Linked DNA regions of Oryzias latipes. The protein of the gene in region 2 interacts with the protein of the main gene of each other region in a pairwise test. Links are inferred from orthologs where the notes say so. Each region holds a gene or a part of one and is shown on either strand. Other genes may lie near its edges.

What was found.
Region 1: the proteins of usp47 (region 2) and ap4m1 interact in binary tests that used the Homo sapiens proteins (3 or more experiments, as listed by UniProt). The two-hybrid records come from large-scale screens. The link is inferred for Oryzias latipes from reciprocal best matches to the Homo sapiens genes USP47 and AP4M1.

Annotation. Positions count from the first base shown.
Region 1 is NC_019872.2:23,460,454-23,469,332, forward strand, and holds the start of ap4m1 (AP-4 complex subunit mu-1), read right to left. Parts: upstream 8,802-8,879; 5' UTR 8,578-8,801; intron 8,365-8,577; 5' UTR 8,205-8,364; coding exon 8,147-8,204; intron 7,050-8,146; coding exon 6,961-7,049; intron 6,529-6,960; coding exon 6,422-6,528; intron 6,342-6,421; coding exon 6,245-6,341; intron 5,924-6,244; coding exon 5,813-5,923; intron 4,846-5,812; coding exon 4,768-4,845; intron 4,688-4,767; coding exon 4,625-4,687; intron 3,981-4,624; coding exon 3,914-3,980; intron 3,843-3,913; coding exon 3,789-3,842; intron 3,541-3,788; coding exon 3,434-3,540; intron 3,222-3,433; coding exon 3,130-3,221; intron 1,196-3,129; coding exon 1,151-1,195; intron 1,073-1,150; coding exon 1,022-1,072; intron 935-1,021; coding exon 817-934; intron 727-816; coding exon 535-726; 3' UTR 1-534. UniProt on the Homo sapiens protein: Component of the adaptor protein complex 4 (AP-4). Adaptor protein complexes are vesicle coat components involved both in vesicle formation and cargo selection. They control the vesicular transport of proteins in different trafficking pathways.
Region 2 is NC_019861.2:20,348,380-20,357,358, forward strand, and holds the start of usp47 (ubiquitin carboxyl-terminal hydrolase 47), read right to left. Parts: upstream 4,848-8,979; 5' UTR 4,597-4,847; coding exon 4,552-4,596; intron 2,500-4,551; coding exon 2,443-2,499; intron 992-2,442; coding exon 797-991; intron 1-796. Other genes in the region: clec3a (C-type lectin domain family 3 member A), read right to left, coding at 6,427-6,824, 7,186-7,269, 7,348-7,468. UniProt on the Homo sapiens protein: Ubiquitin-specific protease that specifically deubiquitinates monoubiquitinated DNA polymerase beta (POLB), stabilizing POLB thereby playing a role in base-excision repair (BER). Acts as a regulator of cell growth and genome integrity.

The DNA.
Region 1 (8,879 bases), on a different chromosome or scaffold from region 2:
ATGGATTTTTCAGTGATTGTTGTGGGAGGATCAACAGTTTTGTCCATCTTTGTGAAAAGAGAATTTAAAATAGACCCAATAAGTCGTACGACAGACTTCAGGACATTTTTCTGATCAGTGTTTGGTTTCGGTGGATGGTTTTGTTCTGGTGTGCTGGTTCTCGAGTATAGCTCTGAAGCTGAGCACGGCTGAACGGGTGCACGTCAGACATGCCTCCTCCTTTTCCAGGCTCTTCCAGGATATTTTCCTTACTGCATCCTGTAGATCCGCCTTTGAGATCCGGAAAGTCATTTTCACCCGCTCAGCGCTGCTGGGTTTCCTGTGGGGCTCCAGAGGAAGAGGAGGGGCAGAACCACGGGGCAGGTTCATCTGTCCCCTGGTTCTGAGCAGAGAGCTGAACCGGCGGCTGCTCATAGAACAAACTCAGCCTCTCAACTTTTTCAGAGCACAGCTGTAACAAGCAGCTCCATCCGGGCACAACAGAGGCGGTGCCGCCCAGAGTAACTCGGTTCCGGTCAGCATTTGCCGCTGCGGTCAGATCCGGATGCTGTAGGAGTCAGAGTGTGTGACATATCGGACCCAGCGCTGCGATGGGGCCGGCTGCACTGGTGACAGGCGCAGGAAGCGGATCTGCAGGCCAGTGGCCGTGAACTTGGGCAACTCGAAGCTCAGACCGACTGGACCCACCTCCAGCATGGAAGCCGAGCTGAGGCCCGGGACGTCCAGCTGAGAGCAGAGGGACAGGGGGCCAGAGAGAGGTTGATGTGAGCTCTGAGGGGGGGGTTGACAGGAGTTGGTGCTGGGCGGGGGGCTCACCTTAAACAAGGCGGACAGCTGCGTTCCACCGGCCAAACGGGGGATCTGCCAGACCACGGCCCGGTTCTGGGACTGCAGCTCGGCGCTCTGATCCGGACTGCTGAGCTCCTGAGACAAACTGGACCACAGCACAGAAGAGAGTTCACACAAACAACCCCCCACGTCCAAATATCTGCACCCCCCAGGTGTGGATGGAAAGCCTTACCTCACAGCTCCTTTTGGGACGGGGACGGAGGCGCACACGTTCACGGCGGAGCTGTAGAGAAAACAGTGACATCATCATCATCATCATCCGCATCCTCCTCCTCCTCACATGTTCAGCAGGAGAACTGACCTCTTGGGGGGCAGATCACAGCGGAGCTTCAAGAACAGGATCAACCTGTAGGGGGTGGGGGGTAAGTCACTTATTATGGTCACAGGGAGAGGGGTCACAGACAGGGCACACGGGCGCACTAAATATTGTGACCCCCGCAGGTCAGAGGTCACAACGTAAGAGCATTTCTCTGGAATTATGCAGTCCCACCAATGCCACATGCACGACAGCTGTGCTCTTACAAAACCTGACAGTTGTGGAAGATTTCAGAAGCTCGTCCCAGCACCCCCCCAACATAAAGGTCTGAATTCCACGGTTCTAAAAGCTTCCAGGGGATTCTTCTGCAGGAAAGAGTTACAGTCCATACAGGTGTGATCATAGAAATGCCCCTGTTAGAACATAAATCTACCTAGCAACAGCTGCCATATTTAATTACAGCGAGTGATGAGGGCTCGTTGTAATCTGATTACAATTTGATCTGTGAGTCTGAACTAGAGGGCTGCATTGGGATTGGGTCCCGCCGGGTCCCGCGGGACCCAACGCAAATCTCGCGGGTTTGGGCGGTTTGAATTGTACTGCGGGCGGCAAAAAAAAACTCTGCGGGATCAGTTTTGCCATGAATATCTCATGAATGTATAATAGCGGACTACGTTAGGCTGTGCGGCTGTTGGAGTCTTATGTACTGAAGCTCCGTGAAGGCACCAGGTAGAGACGCCCAATGGCCACTGTCATCTAACCTGTTGTTGGGGGTGTGCAGCGCCCCGCCCCGCCTCTTAGAAATTGTGTTCTTTAAAGCCTGATACCGCGGTCGCGTATGGGCGGAGCTATCAGCTAAAGTTCTGGTCTGATCGCTGCATGGAGCGATGTGTGCATCAATGCATGGTAGACACGAAGAATGTGGAGAGATCAGGTTTATTATTTTAAAGAGTTCTGCTTGATAATCATGTTTCCATGTTTGAGTTCATAGAATCATCCCAGAGAAAGTCTCTGCTTCAACTCCCGCAGTGAAAGCTGCGTCTCAATCTGACGCCGTGTTTCCATCTCTCTGACAGAGTTTGAAGCCAAAGCCCCTCCCCCGCCTCTTTACCTGCTTTTCCTCTCTACCTGTTCACCTGTTCACATCCTCTGCAGCTTAGAGTTATTTTCCCCGCGCTCCCAGTGTGTTCTACACAGAGAGCGCAAAATACGGTCATAGCAGGTTAACACGTTAGTCGGAACGCTCTAGCGCAACAGAAGGATGAAAGAGCTGTCAATCTATCTGGCAACACTGCGCGGGATAAGGAAGAAGCAGAGGTTTCCTGACAGGGACATGATGTCAGTTGATGAAGCAGAAAAGAACCTCAAACGAGGTTCATCGTGTTCAGATCTGCGTGCCAATGCCCCACTGAGGGGCAAAACAGCAAAAACGGGAAAAGGCTGAAGCTAAAAAAAAAAAAAAGTATTTTTCCGTCAGGAAAAAATTAATTCATAGATTTTCAGCTCTGTTGAACCATTACAATGTTTTTCTTCCTGCAAATGACTTTGACCTGCATCTATCCCAGCTGGTTCAGCGCGCTTCAGGCCGTCTGTCGTGGACAAACAATGTCGCGGACACACGCACACTTTTTTTACCGAACAGGATTTGTGAAAATATATTTAATGATTATGTTGCACATTACACAAAAGAGGAATGCATGAAAAGATGAGACTGGAGGAGGGACATGAATCTCTGTAATAATATCAATAAAAATACGTGTTTTTTTCTGCGGGACGGGAGACGATACAAAATCAATGCATCTCTATTACTGTGCGGGACTAAATTCTATGAGTTTTGCGGGTGCGGGCGGGAGTGGACATACATATTGCGGGTGCGGGCGGGAGTGTAACGCATACGTTGCGGGAGCGGGCGGGATTGGTCAGAAATTTGGCGGGTGCGGGCGGGAGCGGGATGAAGAAAATAGTCCCGCGCAGGGCTCTAGTCTGAACCTCATAATTAAAGTGGTCCGCAGGTTCGGTCTCACCTTCCAGTGCCATCTCGCTCAATGGTTGGGAAAAGCCGGAAAGGCGGCGCGGTCGGCAGGTCGTCGGTCAGCTGGTACTGCATCACGGTTTGCTGCGGGGGGGGGGGGGGGCAGAGGAAGAGGAGGATTCAGCACTGACAGATGAAGAGCAGAAATGGAACAGAATAAACTTTGGTAATGAGATGATTTTCAATGATAAAGCATCTCTTAGATATTTGCCTAACAGAACAAAGTGGGAACGCATTAACGGGTCTGTACAGAAACAGTCACCACACATTCCTGCCGGGTCACTGGACCGCCTCACCTCTCCCTGGCTGGGGCAGAGCCGGAGGATCCGGTGGCTGTCGAACTCGTCCAGTCGCACGCCCTGGTGGAAACTGCACCTGTCCACTCGAACCGCCGCTCCATAACCTGAAGACCCACCAGAACCTGAGGTCAGCTCCTCTGCAGAGCCACAGTCTAAACGGGAACCGTCAGCTTGTTCGGTTCAAAGCTGGAACTTTTAAAAAACAAGAAATAAACCCACTGAAAAGGTTACTATGACCCACCCCAACCAAGTCATGCCCCGCCCTCCAACAGTTAGGACCGCGCTGAAGCATGAGGAGACCCCCCTCCTGCTTCCATTTGACCTGAACGTTGAAGAATCGTGGAGACCTTACCTCTGAGCTGGGACTTCCCGATGCTGAGCTCCTCGTTCAGGCCGATCCGGATCTCTGAAAGCAGACCGACACGTGAGTGAAGGTTCACTCCAGGTGACCCTCAGGTGACCCGGACTCTCACTCACCTGAGCAGCTGGGCATAAAGCACTTGACTCGGATTTCCCCCTCCACGTCCGCCTTCATCAGAACCCCCTGCAGAACAGAGCAGCCAGCATGAAGTTTTTTCTTTTTCTTGTTTGTAAAACAAGGCGGCAGGTTTTTTGGCAGCTGCCGCTGGCTTGAGCATCTCACAGACCGACATTTTTCCCAACACGACAGAGCGTCTCTGTTTTCAGGTGTTGAACAACACAACAAACCCTAACCCCTAACCCTAACCCAACAAATAAAATAAAAAATTCACCAAAAATAAATCCTCCTGAAATTTAGAGAGCTCAGTAGTTACCGTGTCGGCTTTAGCAGGACTTCCTGCTGTCTAATCCTCTGATCACACACAGTTCTGTTTTCTTTGAATAATCTACACTAAACTGGATTATAATAATCCTAACCTTGTGATTCTGCTTGGTTGGACAATAGAATGACCAGTTTTATAGATAAACTGAATTGTATGTCTATTTTCAGGAAGGGCAGGGCTGGTGATGTCATATCCTGCCATGAAAACCTGTGAAGAAGTGAGCTCTGAAGAGGCCCACATAGACACCGTCTCTCCCACCAGGACCAGAGTTCCACTTAGATCCATACTCCGGTCAGAACTTTGAGGACCGCTGGATCCGTGCTTGTGGTTTTTCTGAACCCGAAACGCCTCAGGACCTGCAGAAAGCCTCAGCTGATGCACTCACATTGGAGCCCACCACCACCGACATCCGCTCCACCACGTCCGCAAATATCTCGCTCCGCCCCCCCTGGAAGACAGAGACGGTTGGAGTCGGATGACTTCGTGGAAAGGCGGGGGTCAGACACCTCCATGGAGAAGTGACCTTACCTGCTCCCTGCTGGCCTGGATGGGTCTGGCAGCTGCGGAGCTCGGAGCCACTTTGCTCTGCTGAGTGTCTGCGCCGAACTGCACAGAAACCACCACGACGTGAGCAGGAGCCGCGCTAAAGCTACACACACAACAGGTGTGTGCGGCGCTTTCAAGAACCGTGGCTTTTTGAACACGCTTTTTGCATACGGTGCACACGGGTCTGTGGCTAACAGATTGTGCATGCGCTCACAGTTGGAAGAGGCTTGGTGTGAAATGTCAAAGCCGTGCAAATTCCGCAAATCTAGCTCCAGCCTTTTTCTTTCACAGCTCTATTCTAATTTATGAAAGACTTGGGTTGTGTGCACTATATAGTGCGCTCGCCATTTTGTAGAGCCGTCCGAATCTACAATTCCAAAGATCGAGTGCCCTAGAAATTTCCCAGAAGTCTCTGCGAAACAGCAGTGTGGATCGATGCTCACTAGATCAGTGAACATAGACCACAATGCATTACGCTGGAACCATTTTTTAAATAAATCATCAGCGTTTTTATCTTCAGAAGACGGTGGACGCATAAATAATCACCACAAAACGCTCATATTAATTAGATTTGAACTTCATTAAATTAATGACGTCATATCCGCCGTTAAAAAAAAATAGAAGTAGTTAGCACGGTGTCCGAATTGCTTTTAAAATCTGGGGTATATAGCTTTTTAGTAGTTAGAGGTTAGGGTGGGAATTCAGACTTAGACTTGGTGACATGAAGTTCCAGCCAGCAAAAGCTGCTATTAAAAGTTTCTTCTTCGTGATCCATGTTCAAACGGTCAGCACTTCCGTGTTTTAAAAAGGGTGCAATGCATATGTCACCACCAACTCTGAGTTCCTGCTTGGTCAAACTGTTCAATGTCACCGTGTTTTGTATGTAGAGAATGCCATATTTTTGAAGCCTGAAACACGCCTATATGTGCGTTTACATAGACTTTGGATATGAAGTAGTCACTCAAACACACATTTCCGAGCCCGGTGTAAACACAGCATGACAGTAAACCCATGAGAAGCAGCCTACCAGGCCCACGTTACTGAGGTCGAAGAGGCTGAACGGACGTGAGCTGACCGCCTCCGACTGCAAGAAGTTCTTCAGCATGTCAGAGGAGGTGGTCTGGATGTGACCGTAGTCCTGCAACACAGACAGACGGACGGACAGGAAACCTGCATGATAACCACACAAGAGACGCATCTTTAGCTGAGCTCCTCAAACTCATTTAACCTAAAATGTCCTCCACTTTCACTGGTTTGTGCAGGCGGTGATGCGTTCACTGTCCCGCCTGCTGCTCTGTGTTTCTGAATGTTGACACTTTAAACAAACAGGAGTCAAAGCTGGTTCCACTGCAGAACACAGCTACCCAGCTTCACCCAAACATCTCATCTGGTGACCAACAAAAGCAACAAAATTCAGCAGGAAGGACGCTCCACCACAGCCCCAAAGTCAGGCACTCACCAGAACCTCGTCCAGCAGCTCATAGATCAGAGCAAAGTTCATCTGAACCGACTTCTCTGACAGGCCGCCGCAGTAATCCTTCACTAGCGCCGCCAGCCTGGAAACACAGAGCGTCAGAGTCCTGACAGCAGAAGCCAGCGCGCTCTGCTGGAGGGTCCAGGAAGCTGACCACCAAACCTGTTCAGGAATTCAACGATGGTGAAGGGCGAGGAGTCGGCTGAAGTGGTGGCGACCCAGTAGAGGCCCCCCTGCCTGATGTGCAGGAAGTGGAGGTCTCTGAGCGTCTGCAGGAGAAAAGCGCAGACTTATAAAAGCAGCCAGACATTATTTCTGCAGATCTGGGATTATTTTACTTGGTGATATAATCCCAACTCCTTCATCCAATAACCAAATTTATTAAATAACAAAAGTAGATTTCCCCCTGAAAATACAATCCTTCCCAGCATGCATCCACGCCATCTGAATGCTTTGTAGTTTTACGTCTGGGATCTCAGGGTAGTGTTGTGTATCCAAGGCAACAAGAGTCTCTTCCTCCCTGAGTTCAAACAGCAGCATTGTGTCGTTTATTTTAAAGACACATTCACACTACAATTGTTAGCGCTGCCATGTTCACGGAGTTTCAGAGTTTGTTAGCGTACACACGGCCCTTAAGGGCATCTAAACGTGCTCCATAAGAGCTGCAACAAATAGAAAAGTTCCGCTGGAGGACAGGTTACCATGACAACCGGAGGCTGGTCTCCAGGTAGCGCCGTGACCTTCTGGTAGAAAACGTTGACCACATCATCGTCCCCCGTCTCTCCGCGGACTGGAGCCAGGGTCAAGGTAGACTCAGACTCATGCCTGACGGATGCACTGAGGCGCATGTCCTCCAGAGCAGGGATGCTCCGCCTCTTTTCAGCCGTGGATCCCATTACTGGCTTTGTTTGCCCAAAGCAGCGAGAACAGAGAAGCTGTGGGTCGCTCAGGATGGGAGAAACGTCCAGTTTGAAGGATGTTCCCAGCAAAGACCCCCCCACCCCCAACCCAATTATCTGGTTATGATAAAAACCACCGTTATTATTGAAAACCTTTGGTGGACCGTGCATAACACACCTGGGCCTTCAGCAGTGCTACGTCTGAATCACTCAACCCCTCATGAACCAGCTCAAACTGTCAGCTTGACAGACACAGTGGACACGGGGAGGGTCACGATTCACTCAGATTTTTCTGATGGAGATCAGTGGGAGATTTTCCTGCTAAATCCTCCATGGAGTACATTACAGTCAGTCTGCTATAAACTGAGAGGGAACAGATCATTCTCCATGTCTCTGTGTCAAACTGGACAAGGAAGCATGTGACTTCCTGAAACTTCTGTCCAATCAGAGGGTCTGAATACTGTGACGCTGTCTAAGCCTGCTAGAAGGCCCTGCTGACACCAACTCAAAATCTGATTGGATGAGGGAAATTAATCTCCGACATTGATTTTGCATTAGAGGGCCTGCAGAACAGATAGTGAAGGCCTCTGTAGCTCTGACCCTGCCTGGCAACAAAGGAGAGCTGGAATGTGATTGGTTAAATGTTCCAATGTGAAAATACGTCTGGAAGCAGCATCACCATCATAAACACACTAAAAGAGGAATGGACAGACCATTTGGAATGATTTAATGAGAATGCATGGACGAACTCTAATTAACACATGATTCAGATAATTTTTAGGCCTTCAGAGAAGCCCATCACCATTGAAAATAACAACTTTAAAACACCTGTGTCTGACTGATGCAAAAAATGTACCCCAGATGGGCAAGTACAAGTACCCCTGCTAGAGTAAGTCTGTCCCAAAGGGGAGATCTTTCACTGTATAGCAGAACTGAACTTCAAAGCAGGATGATTTAAACAGAAGCAGGTGAGAGCTGAGAAGGATACAGTCTCTGAAGAGGAGGGGGTCGCCCTTCGAGGACAAGATGAAGAGCTGCCGGATCATCCTGCAGAGGATAGAGGACTGTCGGGGCAACAGTTCACCCCGGTGGGACAGCTAGGGGGAGTTTCAGTGCCACTGCAACATCTGCAGAAACAACATCTGCAGGAACACGTCCAAGTCTGTCTGCAGAACTGCAGTCAAGCCGAAATAAAGGAGAAAACCCCTGTTTATGGGGGAAATGACAAACAAGCAGCATCTCATATTCACTGCATGAAACTAGTTATTATGAGGAAAAAAATAAACTAACAATAAACAATCAGATTGTCTGGTGTGTGCTACTGTAGGTGTGCGTCACACATTAATCTCAAACGTGTTAAAGGTGACACTGAGTAAAGCGGAATAGGGTAAAGACAAGTCGAAGGAAAACTGAATTTACCTGAAAAGATGACACAGTTCAGACGTTTAAACTGAACTTTAAGTGTTTTAAAGCCATGCTAACGTGGAATTACAAATCATTTTCCAGTTCCACGTAAAATCTCCTGCAATGATGTCGACTCTAAGAAAGGGTGTTATTTAAACATTAAAAGCTTGAAAAACACAACACGCTTTAAAACGTCCACTGTCTGGTTTAAGTGTTGCATCCTGTTAAAAATGAACTGTTAGCTTGTTAGCGCCACCTGTCGTGCAGGCGGAAAGATTGGACGCTTGCTTTTTACAGACAGAACATTCAGCATTTCA
Region 2 (8,979 bases):
GCTACTCTAAATTGTCTCTTGATGTGAATGCGAGTGTTTATGGGTGTGATATCATGTGACATTGCGACAGACTGGTGACCTGTCCAGGATGTCCCCTGCCTTGGCCCATGAGTGCCAGAGTTGAGCACTGGCAGCCCCATGACACCGAAAGGGACAAAACGGGTTTAGAAGATGGATGGATGGAACAGTAAAAATGTCTTGTGATAGAAGACACTGCCCTGATCAATCATTCAATACCTGATGCTAGTTTAATTTAAGCCTAACAAATCAAGAGTAGTTTAAAGATTTGAAGTCTGTTTCACAAAACATCCAAGGAACGTAACAAACTCTGAAAATCAGTTGCCAAACAGCTTTTCTATAAAAGAACACAGTCATAATAGTTGGCCTACGTGACCCTACAAAATGGGAGACCACAAGAGCATTATTTTGCACCATCTGGCCCGCATTTATCCATGCTGTTTAGTAAAATGTATTTGCACTGTGTTCTAGTGTATTTTTATTTTTTCACATGTTTGTGTCATGGACAGAAACAACAGAATCCTTTTCTATTTTTTTTTCATTTAATTAGCTCATGAAAAATCCAGTCTCTCCTAATAGATAAAAACTCACAAAAAAATACTTGTTGTGAATTTCGCCATTTATATATTATCCACAACTGTTAAATCGATGTGGTGTTTTGTTGTGCAGAGGAATAAACGAAAGAAAGAAAAAACATTTATAGAAACAAAAATCCACTAACATCCTCATCATTGTTAATTCTCCAAAAATATTCAGCCATTAGAGTGACTTTTCTCACCATGTCCAGAACGTTTCCCCAGGCGAGGTCAAAAGTGCCTTTTATGTATCCAGCTTTGTGAGCGACGTCCTCGTAGAGTTTGGAGAGAGTGGTGGAAGCTGGCAAGTTGAGGGTCAGCCTCTCATTGACCGTCTTTGCACTGGTGGTGTCCTGAATGATGCACAGCACCCTGGGCTCCTCAGCTGCATTGTGGATCTGAAAATCAGGAGGACGTACATTCCTTTGATGTACTCATATATGATCCAGCATTTTGTTGAAAAAACAGCCAGTTAGTTGTTTAAAAGCTGTCTTTTAAATCCAATCGTCAGCTAATATACAATACAAAACTCAACCAATGTAGCAACACTTCATGCCTGTAATGACAATATGTTAGACTGAGTACAAAGCATCTGAATCTTTTTTAAAGTATGTAATTTGGAAAACTAATTACCCACAATAAGTTAAATATAATTAATGGCAAATTTTAAATAGATTTGCCATAAATTTTTGCCTATTATATTATATTGTGTTGTATTGTATTGTATTGTATTGTATTAATACACATATTTAATTTTAACTTGATTATCTTACAAGGAATACAAGAAATCTGGAAAACTTCACCAGCACTGTTCAGTTCCAGGTATTTATCTCTGAGTCACACTGGTTAAAGTTTTGGCTAAAGATGTTCTGGATGGATTTTACATCAGTGAATCGGATCAATCAAAATGAACCTATATCGACTATGAATCGTATAAGCAATCACAAATTATGATGTGAATCAAATTGTTGTTCAAAATGAATCATTACACCAGCCATTCACACAAACTAGTCAACTTAATTACCAACCACTGTGGTTTTCAGGGGTTAAAAGAATATTAAGACGCACACTTCAGTTGACACTTTACTAACAACCAGATAAGAAAACCGTGAGATGCTAAATCCAGAAGAAATAAAGTGTTAGAGGTCAAATCTCTAAAACTGAAAGCATGCCATGCAGCTGTTGATTCATGCTTTACTTCACAAACTGTTTGTTTTTCAGGTGGAACCTGAGTTTCAAGGGGAAAAAGCAGCTCATGTCAACATTTAAGTATGACATACTTCCGGGTGTATTGTTTATAAAAAAAAACAAAAAAACAATACACCCGTATAAGGTATACTTTGCATTGATCAAGAAATGGACACAAAAAAGTCCAAGAAAAGAAAAATAAATGAGATGGTACATGACTAAGTTTACTAAATAAAAAAGAAAGAAAAAAAGGCATTTTTTTAACTGTTATCTGTCTAATTAAAAGTAAAATATAATTGTTTTAACTGTAGACTTAATTTGATAAAACTAGTAGAGAGTGATTCTTCTAAATTAAGAACTATTTAAAGTGTTTAATGTCTTTATAATGGAACAGAAATTTCAGATATCTTCTACTTATTTCATATTAGAGAGTTCAGAATTTCTAAAGGATGGTTTATTTCAACAAGACCCAAAGGCCAATCATTTGTAATGTTCATTCCAAACAGATTGTAATCACAAGCTCCATGTATCTCAACATCCATGTTAGAAACTAGCACCTCTAATGACCTGAATGGGATCCTTCTTCAATTTTTGTTTGTTGGTAAACACAGGCATGTTTTTCATGCAACTTTTCAACACCAAGCTTAGTTGTACACTTCACCTGAGAGCGTCTCTTTATTTCATCAAAGATATTCTGGCTGCAACTCCAAAACACCCGCTAACAAAAAGTGCAAATGTGTAATTGTGTAAATTAAAACACCCACAACAAATGAAACACATAAATAAAGGTAACATTTAGAAAGTAATACTATCAAAAGTAAAAACAATCCAGGAACAGGAATCACTTTTGATCTGCCTCGTCTTTTTAACATCTTGAAAATTGAAATAAATATTGCAGTGAAAGAATTTTAATCTAGTTTTTGCCACCTCTTTGGGAGGTTTGTTATGTTGGCAAAATGTGACTGCCAGGTCTTATACAGAAGCTGCAGCTGACAACACACAAGTGTATTATGAGATTAAAGGTTATTTTTATCATGGATATAATCACAAGGTGCTAACATGAAGCCACATGTAACAAGAAAGACAGGCGGCATTTGTAGATCTAAGTAATAACTAATGAGGCAAACGCCTTTTTTTTTACTACTGTTCGATAAAAAGGAAAAGATTTCTATAGAGGAAAACACAACATCATTTTATATTATTAAAGCTGAACTGTAAACAATAGAATGAGAGGGGGATATGAAACTGTTAACTTTGAAAATATAAATTCAGATTATTAATTATTTAAACATTTCCCAAAAACCTTCCAATGAGGCAACATTGGCCTAAATGTTTTTTTTTTCATCCAAAAAAACAAGATTTTTATTTAAAGAAATACAATAAAAGTGTTGTAACCTTTTCTTCATCATTATTTTTGTAAGGCTTAAAACAGTGTGTTGATTTAGTGTTAAATGGGAAAAAAGCTCAGGTTTTTCTGTTTTTTTTCTTTCATTAAATATCCATCAATTTCCAGTCATTTTAAGTTGTTTAGCATTTCCACACAAAAACCAGCACAGTTGAATATATTCACACAAGAATGAATATATAACACAACATAATAAAATTGAATAAGAATTACATTGCCAAAATGATAGTCATGTTTGAATTGTAAGATATAAAAAATAATGTGCAGTGTAATTTGTTTACAAAAACATAATGTTATTCGTTGGGTAATATGATTTTAAAAGTGACTATCGCCTGGGTTAGAGCTGCATCATCATTAAGTCAAGTAAATCAAACTGCCATAATGGGTCGTACGTATACTTTATCATTGCATTGTTTGTAAGCTTGCTTCTATGTCTTATCAACGAAGACTAAATAAATAATGAGAGTTAATTAGTCCCGTTAAACATGAAATAACACGATTAAACATGGAAACAGGTGCTTTCATGAACATGTCGGTCAGCAAACAGACCATAAACGAGCAATCAACAGCAAAGTCCCTAAACCTAAACCTAGCTTTGTCGGATTTAATTTATCAAAATACCAGACATTTTTCATAAGTGACAGCATCATATTATTAGCAAAAGTTCTGTTAATATACTAAGCTTCTTGGTGAACAATTTACTTTTCTCAACATAATCATAAACTATAAAGACAGTCAGAATCAAAGTAAATAAATCCGTTTGAATTTAAAAAGTACGGCAATGCTTTGACTTTTTCGGACAGGTTACGTTATTGGGTTGCTATTGTTTCAGAAGTAAATTAAAAAATATATAAATGTTTGTTTTTAACCAATTATTGTCAGTTACAGTTGCAACTGACCAGATTAAAGACCTTAGCAAGTCAATCCTACAAGCTAACGTTATGCAAGTTTAGCTAACTAATGTTGACAAATATGAATTGCCTCTCGGTTTTTAAATCGCACAGTGTCAAGTGTCAAGATTTTACAATTTTAGAACATTTCTACTGCTAAGAACCTATACTGAGGACGACCCAACTAACCACACAACATATTTAAAATGAAGCAACCAAAACTCAATCTACTTCATCTATCTAAGCTAAAGCAAAACTAGCTGCTAATAGCAGCAGTTAGCCGTGTCATCATAGGCCGTTCAAGTCATTTTAAGCTAACTGTTAGCAGTTGAGTTGGCCACTACCCGACACACCAAGACCATAACTCCTAAAGTAGAGCAAAAGTTTAATTATTTGTGTGACCGGGGTGGCAAGGTGGCAGCTAGTACACAAACAGAACATCTCCGATCTAAACATGGTTTTGTATTAACCTCACCTCTTTGGGTACGAACTGGGTCTCCTCGCTAGGCACCATTTCCATTTGTACCGAGTTTTTAGAGCATCTATCCGGAGAAAGATGTCAGCGGATAAACTCTCCAGCAGTGCACACAAACATGGTTTGTTTTCAGTTTGTTGTCAATTTAGATGCTTGGACACAAAAATTCAACTTGTCAAAAGTTGCAAGCTTATCAAAGTGATCGCGACACTGTCAGCTTCACTGCCAGAGCGTGAACTGTCCTACTCCAACTGAAGAAAAATGGCCGGTCTGTTTCTCCGCGAGACTTCACCCCACTCGGAGGCTTTGACGTCACATCACATCCCAGAGCGTGCGTGATGGCGCTGACAGGAAGTAAACAGTCACTGATGAATTTGTCAAACTCTTACATTTTAATACATCTGATTTATTAGATTAAATAAAAATAAAAAAAAAATAAAAATTAAAAATCACTGCCTAAAATATGTCTGTTTTCACTGGCTTTTGCAGATATGGCATTGTTAAAGGTGTGTACAGTCAATTAAGAAATGTATTTTCTTAACAAGAAAAATATAAAGCTCATTAATACGAGGTCATTTCATCTATATGAAGAACATTTGTCACTGAATGATTTTCCTCTTCATTTAAATACATTTTTCATTCATGTCAATTAGGAGCATAACGATTTATTTAAACGAATTGCTTCATTTCATAATTTGTGGTTGCTGATATGATTCATAATCAATGGTGGTTCATTATGAACGATACGATTGGATTCAACAGAGCTAATATCAGTCCAGGACATGTTTAGACAAAAAATAGTGTGACTGGGTATTGAACAGTGCAAGCAAAGTTTTCCAGATTCCTTGTAGTTCTTGCAAGATAATTAAGTATAGGTTAAATGTGTTGTATACACTAATAACTTTATAGATTAAAAATAACCCAACTCCAAGGTTAAGAAAGAACTAACTTTTTGGTGGGTTATTTTTTACTACAGAAAAGGCAGGAAAAAATCATAAAAACAAAAAAAAAACAGACAAAATGAATAACCAAAGGAATTTGAATTCAGAAATGCTTTATTTCAAACAATCAAAACAAAAATAATAGTAAACTTAGCAAAAAAAAAAACTTGTCATGTCAGTTCCATTTTTTATAATGGAATTTTTAAAATGGGTTTTACCAAATGGATGTAATGTTTGGATATCTTTAAAATATCAGATACAGATTTTAAAGCATGCTATTTAAATATTCTTTGTCTTCAATACGGTCCATAAAAGTAATTTTTTTTTAATGGGTTTGTTGTTATGTATCATTCTAACAGTTCAGTGGGTGTATTCTAAAACCATTTTTTCTTAAAATTAAAGACATCTATCTCCAGATTAGCAACGTCTGTGAGAATTTGTATCCTTTCGGTTTAGATTTATTGGTTTTGTTCTTCAATCATTTTTGTGCCTAAATTTTCTTGCTCAGTTTCTGTTGTAGCTTTTCCCCCACTGCACAGTGAGCACACAGGGTTTGTCTTAAAATAATACAACTGATTTCTTCATTTAATACCACTCAACCATGGTTTTGGTTGCACCATTTTTTGTTGTCACTCTTTTGTTCTGTCATATTTCAGGTTTTGCTTCTCCAAGTCATGGTTAAGTTTGTTAAAGCTCAAGTCACTATGTATTGTTGTTTCCTTTGTGTTGATCTTCCACAGTCAGGTTCACATGTTAAGCAGTAACGTCATGTTCTGTACAGACGTCACCAAAACTGGAAATCATACAGGCAAACAGAAAAAAGTGGCTTGAAATTTTAAGAAATACATAGATCAAAGTTAAAATGTTTTGAAAAATGTTAACTTTTAATAATAATTACATTTTGTTAATCCCAAATGACTCAGTGCTGCCTCTTTCAGGGTATTACAAATTCACAGATGTACTTCTTCAGGCTGCGGCACACCTCGTCCTGCCACTTTCCTTGTGCTGCCACTGAAAGAGCAACACAGCTCTCCCTCTTCGTTCCTGTGGGCTGCTTCTTGGAGCGATCCCAGTTGAAGTAGCTGACTGGCATGCTGTTGACATCAACATACTGACCTTCCTTCACTATGTCTGACACACCAATCCAAAACTCACTTGATCCTGGGGCACTCCTCTTTGCATAATTTCTCAAGTCGCCGTTTTCCATCATGTCTCGTGGCGTTGCCAGAGTTCCTCCCTGAGCGATGCAGTCCTCATTTGCATCATGAAAATGCTTGGGTTCCTCAATTGTAAGATAGCACTTCCTGTGTACTTTGATGCCCCGCAGACACACTGGAAACACATATAACTTCTTTTAGGTGAGAACTCAGCTGTAATATTGTTGTTTGACACACCGTTTACTCATTAGTTACAAAATTATCCAAAATAAATCTGAAACCAATTGTGTTCACATTTTCCAATGTGACGTTCAGTTAACTGCTTTTTACTTAAATAATGTGTGCTGCTGCCCTCCAGTGGTGATAAACAAAAAAAAGTTGAGGATAGATTTAGTTGAATTAATTATTACTCTTAATTTCTAAAATATGGTTTGGCATGACAGCATTAGTAATCATTATAAATAGCATCTTATATATGATTCAAGCATTTTACCAACTGTCCTAATTTATTCATTCACAAATGTTCAGGGTCTTACCTGTCTGCAACGCCTGCTTCTCCTTCAGTAAATGTACTTCTTGCCACAACTTCTCAATCTGCGACTTTACATCATCATCCTCAGCTGCATGCCGACAAGAAAACAATCAAATCAGCCCCGACAAACATGGATTCATGAAGAATAAGTGGCTTAAGCCTATACCTCCAGCCTGTCTGGGAGAAATGGCCTTCCTGGTACGAGATGGACTGCTGCAGCAAAGCAAGGAAAAGCTGAGAAGGAGGACAGGCGCAGCTAGATGAGCCATGACTCTGGTACACACCATGTACTGCTGTAAAAAGAACCGAAAGACACTGGAGAGGAATATATCTTTATACTACCCCTGTGTATGCCTGTCTGGGTTCTCTCCCTCCAGTGGCTCCAACCCTGTTTGTGTTTGCCCAAACATCAGGAGGGGGTGAGGGTGGCAAAAGGGTGGAGGCAAAAAATGGTTTGCCTGTGTGGGGTTTATTTTTAGATAAATATTTACTCTGAACAAGGTGCACTGAGCAGCATACCTGTTTATTTCCAAACTAACAGCAAACGTATTGACTGCTTGACTGATGCTCTCGTGAAATGTTTGCAACAAATGTGTGGCTTTACTTTAACAAAAATCTTCTAACGGAAAGCAAACAATGCAATTTCTTATTATTAATAACAACTAATATGTTACAAAGTACAATAGAAATGTAATTAATGAGTAACTTAAGAACTTAGATAACTTTTAATGATCCTTAAAAAATCATTTTGTGAATATTTTGTTTGCTTTATAAAGAAAATGAAATTATCTTAAGAGATAAACCTGTTTCCCTTTAGGTCAAAATGGCAGAAAGTTGTATTAAACTATGTCTACCTAGATTATATGACTTGTTGACTGCATCACAAAGATGATTTCTTTGTTAAGACCTGGGAACCTTTTCTGTTATTGACAGATTAGACATTAGCACAATTATTAAGAAAGTATTTGTGCTTTAACATTTAAAGTAACAACGTATTTATTTTATTTTCAACTTCATATTTTTTTTAATATATTTTTTGAATGGGTTTATTATGAATTCTTGCAAGTGTAATTTGTCCCTGTACTCTTGGGAAAAATGTTTCTTGTTTTTTTCTTGTTCTGTGGATGAGTTTTCATTTGTTAATGTGTTAAGAAAACAAGAAATAAATATATATATTAGAAAAAAAGATAAAGCTGTGTGAGTATTCCAAAACTAGAAAAGTAAATGTTACGCCAACATAGATCATAAGACGCACAACTGACACCAAACTCTGAGTCAAAAATGGAAAAGAAAGTCACTTTGTTGAGTTTTCATATGGTTATTAAAAACCACAATACCCTCAAACTCCAGCAGAGAAATCAACAGTTACAGTGGAAACATTATTTTTTTAATTGGATCTTTTCTTTCCATATTATTGGTTGCATTTTGCTAATTTTATTTTACCAGGAAATGAGCAAACTGGCATCCTCAGATGCTTTGTCAGCTTGCCATGCAATTGAGCCAAATTCTCAATATCCAGTGCTCATGGTTAAAAGGACAAGATTTTGACATAAACCTTCTAGGGGGGCCTTTTTTTAAATAAACAAGAAAATAATTTTTTTTATGTAATATTTAAGGATAATTTTTGTTGTTGTTGTAATATTTAAGGATAAAAGAAGAAAAAAAGGTGTCATGTGAGATAAAAAAAAACAACACACATTATACTTTGCAGATACATTTTATTCAAAGTAAATAGAGAGTACACAACAAAAGCTGTGACAAAAATTACACAGCAAAGACATTTGGTGAGAACACTGAA